Stegostoma tigrinum: one gene and its partner. The protein of the gene in region 2 purifies or fractionates together with the protein of the main gene of each other region. This does not show direct contact. Links are inferred from orthologs where the notes say so. Each region holds a gene or a part of one and is shown on either strand. Other genes may lie near its edges.

The links.
Region 1: the proteins of transcription factor ETV6-like (region 2) and lrp6 purify together in Homo sapiens (affinity purification with mass spectrometry; 3 studies listed by BioGRID and IntAct, counting the BioPlex papers as one, with this or other methods). This does not show direct contact. The link is inferred for Stegostoma tigrinum from reciprocal best matches to the Homo sapiens genes ETV6 and LRP6.

The regions. Positions count from the first base shown.
Region 1 is NC_081371.1:27,847,666-27,855,643, reverse strand, and holds the start of lrp6 (low-density lipoprotein receptor-related protein 6), read right to left. Parts: upstream 3,200-7,978; 5' UTR 3,012-3,199; coding exon 2,957-3,011; intron 23-2,956; coding exon 1-22. UniProt on the Homo sapiens protein: Component of the Wnt-Fzd-LRP5-LRP6 complex that triggers beta-catenin signaling through inducing aggregation of receptor-ligand complexes into ribosome-sized signalosomes.
Region 2 is NC_081371.1:603,509-611,260, forward strand, and holds the start of transcription factor ETV6-like, read left to right. Parts: upstream 1-4,380; 5' UTR 4,381-4,778; coding exon 4,779-4,811; intron 4,812-7,752. UniProt on the Homo sapiens protein: Transcriptional repressor; binds to the DNA sequence 5'-CCGGAAGT-3'. Plays a role in hematopoiesis and malignant transformation.

The sequences.
Region 1 (7,978 bases), about 27 Mb from region 2:
GCAAACAACAAAAGTGGTGCACCTGTATTCATAAAAGAAAAGACATTGTCAGTTAAGCATTACTGATGTAAAAAGAAAGCATATGATTTGCAAAATAAAGGTGAAACAAAAAAATGTTACTTCAACAAATGATTAATTTCATAATCACACATCCTATAATAAAGAAACTTAGCACTTACATTCTTGTTGTGCATGCTTCTTTCTAAACTGCAAGTTATATCTTACAAAACTGTAAAACTGTCAAAATGACTTCAGCAATTGGTAGATGAGTGCTCATGCCACTGCACAAGTGCAAACTGGAAATTCTTGCCCAAAATAAAGACTGGTCAGAGATTTCCAAACTGTCTCAGTACATTTGCACAGGTAGTAGCTCGAAAACTGACTTACACGGTTCTAAATATGATATTCCAAAATGTTAGAAACTATCTGAATACAAAGGATGTATTTGATTAAAATAATGGAATGAGAAATACATCAGTTCCATTAACTGGAACTATGGCATAATTAACCTAAACAGTGCTTTAGGCTTTAAATTCCCCACCTTATTCCCCCCCAACTCTATTTAATTCAGTTGAATTGAAACAGTCTTGTTGCTTTCAATATTTCAGTGCTGTAGGGAATCTTGAATGAATTGTTATTGAAAAGCAGAAACAGTGAAATTTAATTTTAAAAAACCTGCGTCAAATTAGAGATTACTACAAATAAATTTTCAGATTTAACATATTCCAAAGTGGCAAACATGGCATTTTCAGAGATAATAGGAACTGCAGATGCTGGAGAATCCGAGATAACAAGGTGTGGAGCTGGATGAACACAGCAGGCCAAGCAGCATCAGAGGAGCAGGAAGGCTGACGTTTCGGGTCAAGACCGAAACATCAGCTTTCCTGCTCCTAAGATATTGTATTTTCAGTGCAACTTTACAGGATTATGACTATAAAATACAAAATTACAATTCCAGAATGGCTGTATACTTAAGATTACATTACTACTCTGGATAAACAGAATTATAAACATCATGGATACCTGGTGTGAATTAAATTGCAGCAATGTAATCACAGACTGCCCAATACCTTTATGACGACATACCAACTAAAACTAAATTACTTCAACAGTAATCCTCACGGAAATAAGCTCTTTGAGATGTCGAAGGTATTGCACATTTCAAATTGACATCCCAGAATGTTTGGAATCAATACAAAAGGCAATAAGGTCAAGTCCTTCACCAGACTCCCCGTTCCAACTAACTAATGGAACTGCACAATAATGAGAAAAATAACTCAATTTTTACACAAATATGACCCCCACCACACCTCGCCATGAAAAATATGGAGTCAATTTTGAGAGCATCAGGTGATTCTGTGCATTGACAACTTACATGCAAAACAAATCACATGGGTAAAGGTGAGGGGAATTTTACCAATTAACCACTTGGATTCTAAACATCTGTTATTATTAATATGCCTGCAATTACGATCAGGCATATAAACTTGTACACTATTTCATATTCAACACCTAGCAGTTTCTCCTAGGATTATATGTACTGCATTGAACTTGTTTTGAAGTATATACAAAATATTCTTTAAAAAAAAACAAACCTGCAGAAGCTGGAAATCAGAAAGAAAAACAGAAGGCTGTGAGGAAGGGTCTCTGGACCTGAAAGGTTAATTGATTTCTCTCCACAGATGCTGCCAGACCTGCTGAGATTTTCCAACAATTTCTGTCTTTATTCGTGACAAAATATTTAAAGCTTCTTTCACTTAATCTGTCATGTAGGCAACATGTATTTAAAAATTACCTTTTTCTAAAAAATAACGCAAGTTCTTTCACCTTCCAAGATTAGTTATATTAATCTAATTGCAAATTAACTAGTACCTACCTGTCAGGGTTCCTCAAAGTTGCAATCCAGAATGTGAACATGTGAAATTTGGAATTGCACTATTAATAAAGTAATTTGTCTGTGGTATATGTGTAACCAGATACAAGGCTGCACTCGAATTACCCATGAACGATTTGTTAGCCCCCGAAAGATATCTTTCCTGCTTTTGTCGACAATGACTTAATTCACGTATGTTTTACAGGACTACCTGTTGCATTTGCCTAGAACTAACGTGTTCAACGAATGCAGGACTGAAAAAAGGTGTCAGTTATTGTTTAATAAAATAATTAAATTTGAAATCTGATCTGTAGCCCTGTAGAGAATGTGATTTTAAAGAAAGCTCTTTCTGATCAGCTATTATGAATAAAATAGAATACGGTAAAGAAATATGTCTCCAGAAAAGTTGTAAAACGTATTTAAAGCAACCCGAGTGCACAGCCGAAATTCTTTTATTTGCTCTTACAAGCAGGCCCTTCCTAAAACAAAACTAAACTGCTCTTACAAATGAATTAAGATTTCGAATGGACAGATCGGATCCGTCCGTCTGTTTGTTCGGGAACACTTCGATCGGCTTTTAGTGCTCCATAAACAACCAAAAGATGGTAAGCAGATGCTTAAAAGCATTGCAGAAAAAGTTCCAGCAGACCCGTTCCTCCCCATTGAGCACCCTGCGCTGTGTTTTGCCAAGCATTTCCCCCGCACAAAGTGGCAGCACTCCTGAGTGAGAGAGAGAGAGAAATCGCGGCATTCATTCCACCTCACGGCCGGCTCTCTATCACACACACACACACACAAAACCATTCCAGCAGCTAAAAGCGTTGAACGACGTTAGAGTTTATAGTTGAACCATTCGCCTTCCAATATAAATGGCAATGCATGTAAACCGGGGCAGAGAAAGCCCCTTCACCTTTCCCTTCTGCCCCCGTAGACAGCCAACCCCCCCCCCCAACGAAACACACACACACACCATCAGCCCCCTCGCGGGCCCCTCACAGTAACATGCAAGACCGTTCTCACTCAGCCTCCTTTTTTTAATAAAACCAAGAGAGAGGGCCAACCAATCTTTTAACTTTTACTCACCCCTTATCAAAGAGCAAACGCTGCACAACAGCAAACTCCTCAGCGCGGTACCCATGTTTCCCCTCCCCCCCCCCTTCTAGGCAGTCAAAGAGAGCTCAACGTGGCGCCACATTGAAACACATAGTTACAATTCCTGTGACTTTGGGCAGCGCTACAAAGTATCTCGCTCGCCAGCCATGGTTCCGTGGCCTCTCTATCTCCGCTCACCGTCGGCGCAAGCACACGCCTCCTCTCCCTCCGCCACTAACACCCTCCCTTTTCCTTTGCCCTGTTTCTCTCCCGGCGTACTATTTTCTTTACGGCAAGCTCGCTGGGAAAGAAAAGAGCCTTTTTAGTTCATTGTTCCTCCCCATGTGCCCCCTCCCGGGTGTGTAAAAAGATATATTCCCCCGCTCAGTCTCTCATGCATCTTCTTAACCGAGGCTTGGAGCGAGCCTTCCCGGGGATTTCTTTTGCAGCAGAGAGTGGTGCTCTGCCTTAGAACAACATAACCATTTGACCTGGACTGCGGCGCTACTTTTTTTTAATACTAGAGCATCAAGTATCCTTTGTACATGGCTGCGCGTTCAGGTAGTGTGTGTAGGAGGTGTGGGAACGAGGAGACGGTGTTAGGGAGATGGGGACGGTGTCTTTACCCACGTTAATGAAAGAGAGATTACTGCAATTAAATCGAAGGAGCGGGTGGGCTGGGCAGCGGGAAATCACATCTTTGCATTGAAATGTCGCCGTCAAAAATCCTTCCAAAGATGCTCTGGTTGAGAAATTGCGACAACATTGTGAAGAGTGATTTTTCACGCTCAAATAAATATACACGCGTAAAATAAAATTCGTTTTAGATAAAATTGTTATTTCTTTCCTTTCTTTAAAAGGTTTTAATGTGATATGAATTCCAAGAACCTCTTCCACGAATTATCCATCCATATAGGTTTAAGAAAAACGAGAACTTGCCGTCAGCAATGAAAGAAAACGAACAATTCCAAAACATTTCACACGTTTTTGTTTCTGGCATTAAAAATGATTAAACTCAGTTTAAATGTCTTACTGAGTTTATCTATGAGAGAGCTAGACCATGACGACGAATACATTTGGTCATAAACTGGAGATGGTTCTGCATCCGTGCTGGACTACGTGTTAAATCAGCAGCCTCAGAAAATCAATGCATGTAGTGCTCAAATAAAACAAAGAACTGCGGATGCTGGAGATCTCAAAGAAAAACAGAAATTGCCGGCGAAACTCAGAAGCAAGAGTCACCGAACTCCAATTGTTAACATTGCTTCCTCCTCACAGATCATGCCGGACCTGCTGAGTTTCGGCAGCAATTTCTGTTTTTGAGTTGGCACCGCTCAACACTTAAAACAAAAGTATGTGAAGAAAGAAAAACAAACAAAATGATACGCATTTGTTTTTGTGAAAGAAGCGAAAATAAATTAAGTTTAGGTGGTTTGGAATATGAAGCAGCTCCCCCCGCAGTGTTGCTCAGGTCAGCCAGACGGAAGAGGACCATGTCGTGGTCAGCAGATCTGACAGTATCTGCGGAGAGAGAAACCGAATTTAGACGGCAAGGCGAATACGATTTTTAGTGAACTCAGCCAGAGAAAACATTTTTATTTTAGATATTACCAGGTGTCATAGTATTTTGTAACCAAGTAATTTACCACAAACAGTAAGAGATAATTGTTCAGCGTCAGAGCAAGTAAGGATGCTTTTTAAGGTCTGCAACATTCAGACTTGGTTTTGGAGGTTGAGGGTCTGGGAGGTTATGTTATAGACCAGACTGGAATTTGGGAAGGCATGGAAAATTACGTAAGAGCTAAATTGCTGCAGATTTGGGGCAGTACCTCAATGGTTAGTACTGCTGTCTCAGAGTACCAGGAACCTGGGTTCATATACCAGCCTTGGGTGACAGTCTGTGTGGAGTTTGCATGTTCTCCCTGTGTCTGTGGATTTCCTTCCACAGTCTGAACATGTGCAGTTTAAGGCCATACTAAATTGCCCATAGTGCCCAGGGATGTGTAAAATTAGGTGGATTAGCTATGGGGGAATACTGGGTTATAGGGTAGGGTGAGGTGGTGAGTCTGGATGGGGTGCTCTTTAGATAGTTGGTGTGGATTTGTTGAGGTGAGTGGCCTGTTTCCACACTAGCAAAAAAAACATGTCTGTAAGACCAATTGAGGTGAGAACCTGGGAATTCCAACTCTATCTGCAAGTTATCAGGAGGAAGTTGAAAAAATATGCCTGCTCAACCTCATCTCTCTCTCTTCAAGTTTGTCTTCTGCCCACTAATCCTTATGTTTGTTCTTACTTCCACTTTCTCCTTTCCCGTACTCCCTGTTCAATGTTTTACATGCCCACCTCATTTGACATTCCCATGACCACTATTTTCCTTCTATTCAACCTCCCCTAACCTCTCTTTACTTCTCTTTACCTCATTCTATGTTTTGTCTCATTCCTCTTTCTTTCCTCTCTCTTTCCTACCCTGTACACCTTTTCCCCCTTGGTTCGCAAAGCTTTTATTGAGCATTAGAAATCGCAGTCATTTCAGAAAAGAATGTACTAAACGTGAAGCATTTTCAACCATCAATGGGATTTCACTTGCTAACAGCATTTTTGCGCTACATTGAAAATATTTACCAAAATAATGTATGCTAGGTATTTAGTGTCAGTTAAATATCAACATCATAATCTTAATCTTAAGTAAGTAACTTGTATGACAATAAATTCCACAAAACTCGGTTGCAATGAGAAATTCACATAACTGTAATAAGGAATACAGAAAATGCTGGAAATACTCAGCAGTTCTAGTAGCAACTGTCCAGTGAGAAACTCTTCAACACTGTTAAGGGCAGGACTGAAGGCAGGCGGGCATGGAACTACAAACTGGCCTGTATACCAATTACCTGCCTCCATCCCATCCTGGCCATTTTTTAGAAGGTAGGAGTGACAATAGGGAGGTTGAGGGAGCTGGGCTACTCATCTGTAAGAGTTAGATAACCTAGTGAGCTAATTTAAGGGCTTTCTGGAGCCTGGTATCAGTGGCCAACTAGCATTTTGCAGTCAGCCTCATAAGCCCATAGAGGTGACAGGGGACATTTTAGCTGACTGGTGGTGGCCTTCTGGCTGTCCATAGCTACTTGGGTTCAGAGTAGGCACATTGCAGTTTAAATGTGAAAAAGTTGGAAAGAAGGCATTTTTTATTCATGGGATGTGGACTTCATTGGCTGGGTCACCATTTATTGTTCATCTCCAGTATCCACTGAGAAGTTTATGGTGAGATGCCTTCTTGAACTGCTGAAATCCATTTGGCATAAGTCCATCCACAATGCTGGTTGGGATGGAGTTCCAGGATTTTGATCCAGCAACATTGAAGGAAAGTAACATTTTTTCAAGTCAGAATGGTGTGTGACTTGGAAGGGAACCTGCGGGTAGTGGTCTTGCCATGTATCTGCTGCCCTTGTCTTTCTATATGATAGTGATCATGGGTTTGGAAGAATCCTGTCTAAGGGTCTTTGGCAAATTTCTGCAGTGCATTTTGTAGATGGTACACACTTCTACTGCTGAGCGTTGGTGGTGGAGGGAGTGAATATTTGAGTTGCCAATTAAGCGAGCTGCTTTTTCGTGGATGGTGTCAGGCTTCTTATTGGAACTGCACTCATCCAGGCAACTTGGGAGAGTTCCATCACAACTCCTGACTTGTGCCTTGTGGATTATGGACAGGCTTTGGAGAATCAGGAGTTGACTTACACACTGCAGAATGCCTAGCCTCTGGTCTGCTCTTGTAGCCACAGTATTTATGTGGTTAATCCCATTCAGTTTCTGGTCAATGGTAGACCCAGAATGTTGATAGTGAGTAATTCAGCATTGGTAATAACATTGAATGTCAAGGAGTGATGGCTAGATTTTCCCTCGATAGTGATGATCATTACATTGCAATTGTACAAATGTTACTTGCTATTTGTTAGGGGCGGCACAGTGGCTCAGTGGTTAGCACTGCAACCTCATAGTGCCAGGGACCCGGCTTCAATTCCAGCCTCGGGCAACTGTCTGTGTGGAGTTTGCACATTCTCCCTGTGTTTGTGTGGGTTTCCTCCCAGAGTCCAAAGATGTGAGGTGAGGTGGATCGGCCTCGCTAAATTGCCCGTAGTGTGTGGGTTATAGGGGGATGGGTCTGGGTGGGATATTCCAAAGGGCAGTGTGGACTTGTTGGGCCAAAGGGCCTGTTTCCACACTGTAGGGAATCTAATTAATCTAGTCCAAGCCTGGATATTTCCACATCTTGCTGCATTTGGATATGGACTACTTCAGTATCTGAGGAGTCTGTGTTGGTGCTGAACGTGCCCACTTGTTAACTTATGATAGAGATAATGTCATTGATGAAGCAGTTAATATGGTTAGGCCAAAGAAACTAGACACAGGAATTCCTGCAGAGATGTTCTGAAGCAGAGATGACTAACCTCCAACAACTACAAACATTTTCTTTTGTGCCAGGTATAACTCCAACTCATTTACTCCTTGATTCCCATTGACTCCAGTTTTGCTAGGGATCCTTGCTGCCACACTAAATCAAATGTGACTGTGATGCCACAGGCAGTCACTCTCACCTCCTCTCCAGAATTGAGTTATTTTGTCCATGCTTGAACCAGAAGCTCAGTAGCCCTGACTGAACCCGAACTGATCACAAGTGACCACGTTATTGCTCAGCAAATTGTGTTTGATAGCACTGTTGGTGGCAACTTCCAGAACTTTACTGAGAACAGAGAATAGACTGATGGGGCAGTTATTGATTAGGTCAGATTTGACCTGCTTTGTGTATAGGACAAACCTGTCAATTTTCCACATGGCTGGGTAGATGTTAGTGTTATACCTGTTCTGGAAACAGTACAGCTTGAGGCACAGGATGCTTAGGAGCATGTCTGCAGTACTATATGTAGGTTGAATTTCCCCATAATTACTGTATTAGCCATGTTAAATGCACCACTATTTTCCTGATTTATGTCATTTTGGCCAATAAACAACTCCTACCAA
Region 2 (7,752 bases):
CCCTCGTGCTTGCTGTCACCATCCTAGGAATAAGGCTCTCCCTATCCACTCTATCTAACCCTCTGATTATTTTATATGTTTCAATTAAGTCACCTCTCAACCTTCTTCTCTCTAATGAAAACAGCCTCAAGTCCCTCAGCCTTTCCTTGTAAGACCTTCCCTCCATGCCACGCAACATCCTAGTAAACCTCCTCTGCACATCCAAAGCTTCCATATCCTTCTTATAATGCGGTGACCAGAACTGTATGCAATACTCCAAGTGCGGCTGCACCAGAGTTTTGTACAGCTGCAGTATAACCTCTTGGTTCCAGAACTCGATCCCTCTATTAATACAAGCTAAAACACTGTATGTCTTCTTAACAGCCCTGTCAACCTGGGTGGCAACTTTCAAGGATCTGTGTACATGGACACCGAGATCTCTCTGCTCATCTACACTGCTAAGAATCTTACCATTAGCCCTGTACTTTGCCTTCTGGTTACTCCTACCAAAGTGCATCACCTCACACTTGTCTGCATTAAACTCCATTTGCCACCTCTCAGCCCAGCTCTGCAGCTTATCAATGTCTCTCTGCAACCTACAGCATCCTTTGTCACTGTCCACAACTCCACCGACCTTAGTGTCGTCTGCAAATTTACTAACCCATCCTTCTATGCTCTCATCCAGGTCATTTAGAAAAATGACAAACAGCAGTGGACCCAACACCGACCCTTGCGGTACACCACTAGTAACTGGTCTCCAGGATGAACATTTCCCATCAACTACCACCCTCTGTCTTCTTTCAGCAAGCCAATTTCTGATCCAAACTGCTTTTTCTCCCACAATTCCATTCCTCCGCATTTTGTACAATAGTCTGTGATGGGGAACCTTATCGAACGCCTTGCTGAAATTCATATACACCACATCAAGTGGTTTACTCTCGTCTACCTGTTTGGTCACCTTCACAAAGAACTTAATAAGGTTTGTGAGGCACGGCCTTCCCTTCACAAAACCGTGCTGACTATCCCTAATCAATTTATTATTTTCTATCCCTTATAATAAACTGTTATAACCTTTTCCAACACTTTACCAACAACTGAAGTAAGGCTCACTGGTCTATAATTACCAGGGTTGTCTCTACTCCGCTTCTTGAACAGGGGAACCACATTTGCTATCCTCCAGTCGTCTGGCACGATTCTGGTAGACAATGACGAGTTAAAGATCAATGCCAAAGGCTCGGCAATCTCCTCCCTGGCTTCCCAGAGGATCCTAGGATAAATCCTATCTGGCCCAGGGGATTTATCTATCTTCACCCTCTGTAGGATTTCTAATACCTCTTCCTTGTGAACCTCAATCCCACCTAGTCTAGTAGCCTGTATCTCAGTATTTACCTCGACAACATTGTCATTTTCTAGAGTGAATACTGTTGAAAAAATTTATTTAGTGAGGCGTGGGTTTACCTCTGGGTGCTCTGATTTTCTCCCACAGTCCTAAAACGTGCAAGTGAGGTGTATTGGCCATGCTAAATTGTCCAGGGATGTAGATCAGGTGGATTAGCCAGAGGAAATGCAGAGTTACAGGGTACAGGGTTAGTTTGGGTGGCATCCTCTTTGGAGGGTCAGTGTGGACTTAATGCACTGAATGGCCTGCTCCCAAACTGTGGGGATCCCATGATATGGGATATGTTCTTTTATTAGCCGACACTAAATACAAGAGAAAAGAGGTTATGCTGGAACTGTATAAAATGCTGGTTAGGCTCTGCTGAGTACTACTTGTGGTTCTGGCCATCACATTACAGGAAGGAAGTGATTGCACTAGAGAGAGTGCAGAGAAGATTCACAAGGAATCTTGTACTGGAGGATTTGAGCAATGAGGAATTATTGGAAAAGCTGGGCTTGTTTTCCTTGGAACAGCAATGGCTGAGAGAGAATCTGAGAGATATTATGAGGAGCAGACATGGGACAAATGGGATGACACTTTCTTCCATTCGTAGAGGGGTCAATAAACAGGTGACTTAGAATTAAAGGAAGAGGTAAAGGGTTAAAAGGAAATTGTCACTGAAAGGGTGGAGGAATCTGAAATTTACTGCTGAAAGGGTGGTCGAGTCGTTTTATCAAAATTCAGAGATTTCTTGCATTGCCAGCACCCCCAAGGTGATGCGCTAAGAGCTGGAAAATGGGCTTAGTGCAGTCAGATCTTCATTGACTGGCACAGACATGATGGGCTAAATGGTCTCGTTCCATACGGTAAACATCTAGGAGAATTTACAGTCATGCCCAATCTCCCAATGTTCTATCATCTGATCAATCCCAATGAATTTTGGTTTTAAAATCAATACATTTCCATGCAGGACTTTAACTGGGACTTTCTGGTCTAGACCAGGTCAATAATTTGCCTTCCAGATCAACCTGCTCAGGAATGTCATTACACATCACTGAAGCAGGTGGGATTTAAACCCAGTCCTCCTGGGCCATAGATAGGGGCATTGCCACTGCACCACAAGAGCCATAAAATCATAAAGATGTACAGCTCAGAAACAGACCCTTTGGTCCAACTTGTTCGTGTCAACCAGATATCCTAAAATTATCCAGTCCCATTTGTCAACATTGACCTGTATCCCTCTGAACTCTTCCTATTCATGTACCCATCCAGATGTCTTTTAAATGTAATTGTATCAGTAGACCACTTCCTTTGGCAGTTCATTCCATATATGCACCACTCTCTTTGTGAAAACATTGCTCCTTTTAAATCTTTCCCCTCTCACCTTGAATTTACACCCTCTGGTTTTGGACTGCCCTACCCGAGGGAAAACAGTTTGATTATTCACCCTACCCATGCCCCTCATGATCTTATAAGCCTCTATAAAGTCACCCACCATCCACCGATGCTACAGAGGAAATCGCCCCAGCCTATTCAGCCTCTTCCTGTAGCTCAAACCCTGGCTACATCCCCGTACATCTTTTCTGAACCCTTTCAAGTTTCAAAACATCCTTTCTGTAGCAAGGAGACTAGAAATGAACGCAATATTCCAAAAGTGGCCTAACCAATGTCTTGTACTCAATGCATTGACCAATAAAGGCCCTTTTATTTCACTTCAATTTTATGAGGTTTAATTTTAGCCAGCAGGCACACATTTGAAATCTAACTAAACGTCTTATGGAAGCCCACTTAAACTTCATCCAAAGATTATTACTGTGCTTTATTCTCTATTACTGTAGCCACTTCCTCAAATAATTCAATTACATTCATTAGCTGTGACCTACCCATTAAAAATTCACATTATCATAGCTCAGATTTCTCCTAAGTGCTAAATCACTCTGCTTTTAATTAGAGGTCCGTTCAACTTCCCTGAAACAGACATTAGGTAAGGGTTCACTAAATTTATGCTTTCTCTCATTCCATTCTTAAACAATAGGAGTATATGTTGCATTTCTGAAAAAGGGTCCTGACCCGAAACGTCAGCTTTCCTGCTTTTCTGATGCTGCCCGGCCTGCTATGTTCCTCCAGCTCCACACTATGTTATCTCTGACCCCAACATTGGCAGTTCTTACTATTTCTTGTGGGGATAGGAGTTGAGGGTTATCCGATCAGCCATGATCTCGTTGAATGGTGCAGCAGACTCAACGGGTTTAATGCTCATACATCTTATGGTGAAGACACCAATGAAGCAGAACTTGTGAACAGGAAGGCAAACTGGGTAGTCAGCTCCTGGTTTCCGTGTGTGTGTGTTGGTTGATAGAAATTGTTACCTTATTTCATGGTGAGGATTGTTATCCTGAACATTATTCCCATGCAAATCCCAGACTACAGTGAGGTTGCTTGAATGCCAGGTGTATTACCATTTTCCAGGCAGCCTCATCTGAAAAGTGGGTATCCAGCAAATCCGTCACATTGCCCAGTTGCCGTTCATAATATTAACTCCATATGCGATTCAGTGGGAAAGTTATGGAGCAGAAGCCACATCATTCAGTGAGCACGATAATTTACGGGAGTACCAGGGTAATTACATGGAGTACCGCAGGGTTTAAGGTTATTAACTGGAGTACCAGGAGGGGGTTCAGGGTAATTAACTAGAGTACCAGCAGGGAGTTCAGGGTAATTACAGGGAGTACGGCGCCGGGGGGGAATCAGGAATCGCCCTAACGCGGGGGCTGGGGTGACTGCGGGATGGAGTTACTGCAAGTTACTTCATACAGACTCTGTCGCTGTTTCATGTTATTTCCGAGTTTGTGAACTGCTTTATAAGAAGCCCGAGTGCCCAGCGCAATCGGCAAAAACCAGGCGAAATGCTTCTGTCCCTTTGTGAGTGTGACAGCCATATCTGGAGTGAACAGGAGGCCTTCCTGTGTGTGAGGCCTATGAATGCTGAGGACCCACCTTCCTCTGGCTGTCTGTGGCCTGTTTTAAAGCAGTACTGTCTCCCTGCTCCCTCAATGCTGCGGCTCTGTTTCCGGGTTGCAGTTCCCCTTTAAGAGACTGCAGTCCTCTTTCCCCGGCTTGTTGCTGCTGGGAACTCACGTCAAAGGTCGGCTGGAGATTTGTGACCAACCATGAGATCAAGGAACGTTTCGCTTTCCCTTCCCGGAAGAAGGAGTCTCGGTCCGGGATGTGATTCACAGGCGGGGGAGCTCGGCAGCCGGCAGTCGCTCGGACCAGCACTTCCCCCGGCTCGGGACTGATCGATCCTTCTCGGAGCCTCCTCCCGTAAGGAGTCTAAGGCTGCTTCCCTTTCCCGGGAACAGAGGCAGGGATAGAGGGGGTGGAGAGACAGGGAGAAGTGAATCTGCGGACCTTGCCAGACATGTCTGAAGCTTTCACTCAGAGACACATCAAGGTAACAAGAAAGTTTGAAGCCGCGTGAAACCAATTCCTCGGAGAGGGAAGTTGAAATTTGCCTGACTTTTAATTCACTTCCTTATTGCAACCAGCATAGCGAACAGTGTGGGAGCTTCGCATTTTTTTCAGAATTTCACTGAAGTTTTGTCCACTTCCCTCCAGTGTTGGGAAATTCGCCACAATGTTGTGAATTTAACCACCTGGACGTGAGTTTCCCTCCAGTGGTATTGATTTCGCTACAATGTTGGGAAATTCGCCACAGTGTTGCAAGCTTCGCTACCTGGTTGCTACATTGAAGGTGGCATTCCCAATGGTAAACGGGGAGCGAGTGTGTGGAGGCTGGGAATACAGGAACTTCCCGGCCTCGGAGGCAGGGCTGCGCAGCCACTTCTGCCGGATCGTGGCAAACACTTCCGTGAGAGTCGGTGATCTAATTCTGAAACACATCCCAGTCCCTGACAGGCCTCAGCCAGAATCTAAACCGGGTGAAAGCAAGCCCTTTAACTCTTTGTTTACTTGTGCTGCCACTCGGACTCTCTTTGAGCGTGTGTTTGTGAGGTGGGGGTTCCCCAGACCTAGTCCTGGGCCCGTGCTGCGCTCAAGAGGTTCTGAACCAAGCAGCCAATGTTCTTTTGCTGAGACAGGGTTTCATTGGCTCTGGCTCTTAGTTACTTTATTTCCAGGCCAGCCTGGAGCTGAGACAGTGTGTGCCAATCTGCAGAGTCTGCTCCTCCACTCAATGGCTGATCTGATCATCCTCAACTCCACTTTCCTGCCTTTTCACTGTGATCTTTGATTCCCTTGCTGGTTAAAATCCTTGAACATACTTAATGACCCAGCTTTGACACCATTCTGTGGTCAAGAATGCCACAGAATCACTGTCCTTCGAGAGAAGAAATTCTTCTTTATCTCTGTCTTCAATGGGTGACCCCTTACTCCAAGATTGTGCTGCCTGGTCCTAGGCTCTCTCACAAGGGGCAACAGCCTAATACTGCTAATACTAAGCTAATCCCTTTGAAATAAATGCTAACATTCCACTTGCCTTCCGAATTATCCACAGTTGCCACTGGGAGCTGGCACAAGAGGGTAGTGGAAGTCAAAATAGGCTGAACCAATGGGAAAAAAAATCTAGCTCGCTATCCCAGGCCCACAAGTGAATTCAACAGGATGATTGTGCTTGAGAATTCTTGTGGAGATATTTGAGATGTTGTAGATATAGAGTTTGCACAATTCTACCCCTCGATGATAATGAAAAGGTTACAACATCTGCAACTGAACATTAATTGATGGATGGAGGGGTGTGGATGGATATGGAGGATAGGAAATGAGATGGTTGTTTCAAGTGATTGGGAGTCAATAGCGTTCCACAGAGCTTAGTCTGGGCTCACCTCTCATCACTGCAGAATATTTAACAGTTACAATATTGAGCCAGAAGGGTTGCACTTGATACGTAAACTCTGTCCAATGCAAATTGGTCTCGGCAAGTGTGAGCTGATGAGTTTGGAGAGAAGGCTAGCAGTGACTATACATGACACACAGAGGGAATGAAAATCCAACTCCATGATGGTTTGTCCTTGGGAAGACAGGCTTATAAATAAGTTAATGGTTTAATGTAGGATCTGTAGAATAGAAGAACAAAAGGAGCTGACCAGCTTTCATCTCCTATGATTTATTCCTTGGGCTGCTTTGGAGGCTGTAATATTTAAAATGTGAACACAGACTCATTTGGAGGCTTGTCATTACTCTCGCTTACTGTGAGTCATCTGCTTTTGAATCTGCCTTGTCTTTTTAATAATTTTCAACACTCCCACAATATGTAATAAACAATTCTTATCCATCTCCCTTCATGTTTACATTCCACACACCAGTGAACTCAGAATACTATGAATACTCACTGACTCAGAAAAATAACTCTCCTGCTTTCTCTACAGAAGCTGTCTGACCTGGTGAGTATTTCCAGCACTTTCTATTTTGACTTGTGACACCCTACATCTGCAGTATTTTTCTTCTGTTTGAACTGCTGAAGCTATTCTCTATTTTCAGGAGCCTCTCTATTTCAAGATCTACAATGTGGGCTTACCTAACTACCTAGCACAAATGTGAGAGGTGGTTTCCCCTCATGGGAGAGTCTAGGACCAGAGACACCATCCTCAGAATAAAAGGGTGTTAATTTAAGACTGAGATAAAAATTTCTTTGCCGAGGGTTGCGTGTCTGTGGAACTACCTGCTCCAGAGAGCTGAGGAGGCAGATTTTTGAGAGAATTCTTGATCAGCAGGGAATTGAGGGTTACGGGAAAAAGGTAAGAAAATAGATGTGGGGAATGTTGGATCAGCTATGATCATATGGAATGGCAGGGCAGGCTTGAGGGGCTGAATGGTCTACTCCTGTTCTTATTTTTTATGATGTAGGTATCAGAGGATTTTGGGGCGACATGGTGGCACAGTGGTTAGCACTGCAGCCTCACAGCGCCAGGGACCCGGGTTCGATTCCAGCCTCGGGTGACTGTCTGTGTGGAGTTTGCACATTCTCCCTGTGTCTGCGTGGGTTTCCTCCGGGTGCTCCGGTTTCCTCCCACAGTCCAAAGATGTGCAGGCTAGGTGGATTGGCCGTGCTAAATTGCCCACAGTGTTCAGGGACCTGTAGATTAGGTGGGTTATAGGGGGATAGGTTTGGGGGGATGCTCCATGGGTCATTGTAGACTGGTTGAGCTGAAGATCCTGTTTCCACACTGTAGGTTTTCTATGATGATGATTCTATGATGATTGAACTGCAAGGCAATGGCGTACGTTTGGAGGGTTAATGGTTGAATCCAAAATTGTCTATTTAAGAATGACATTGCAGAGCTAGATCAAGGGAAAAGTGTTGTGGGAATTTGGACGGTCTAGTTAATCAGGACTCCTGACTGGAGGGTAAATGATACGCACTACTTGTGTGGAAT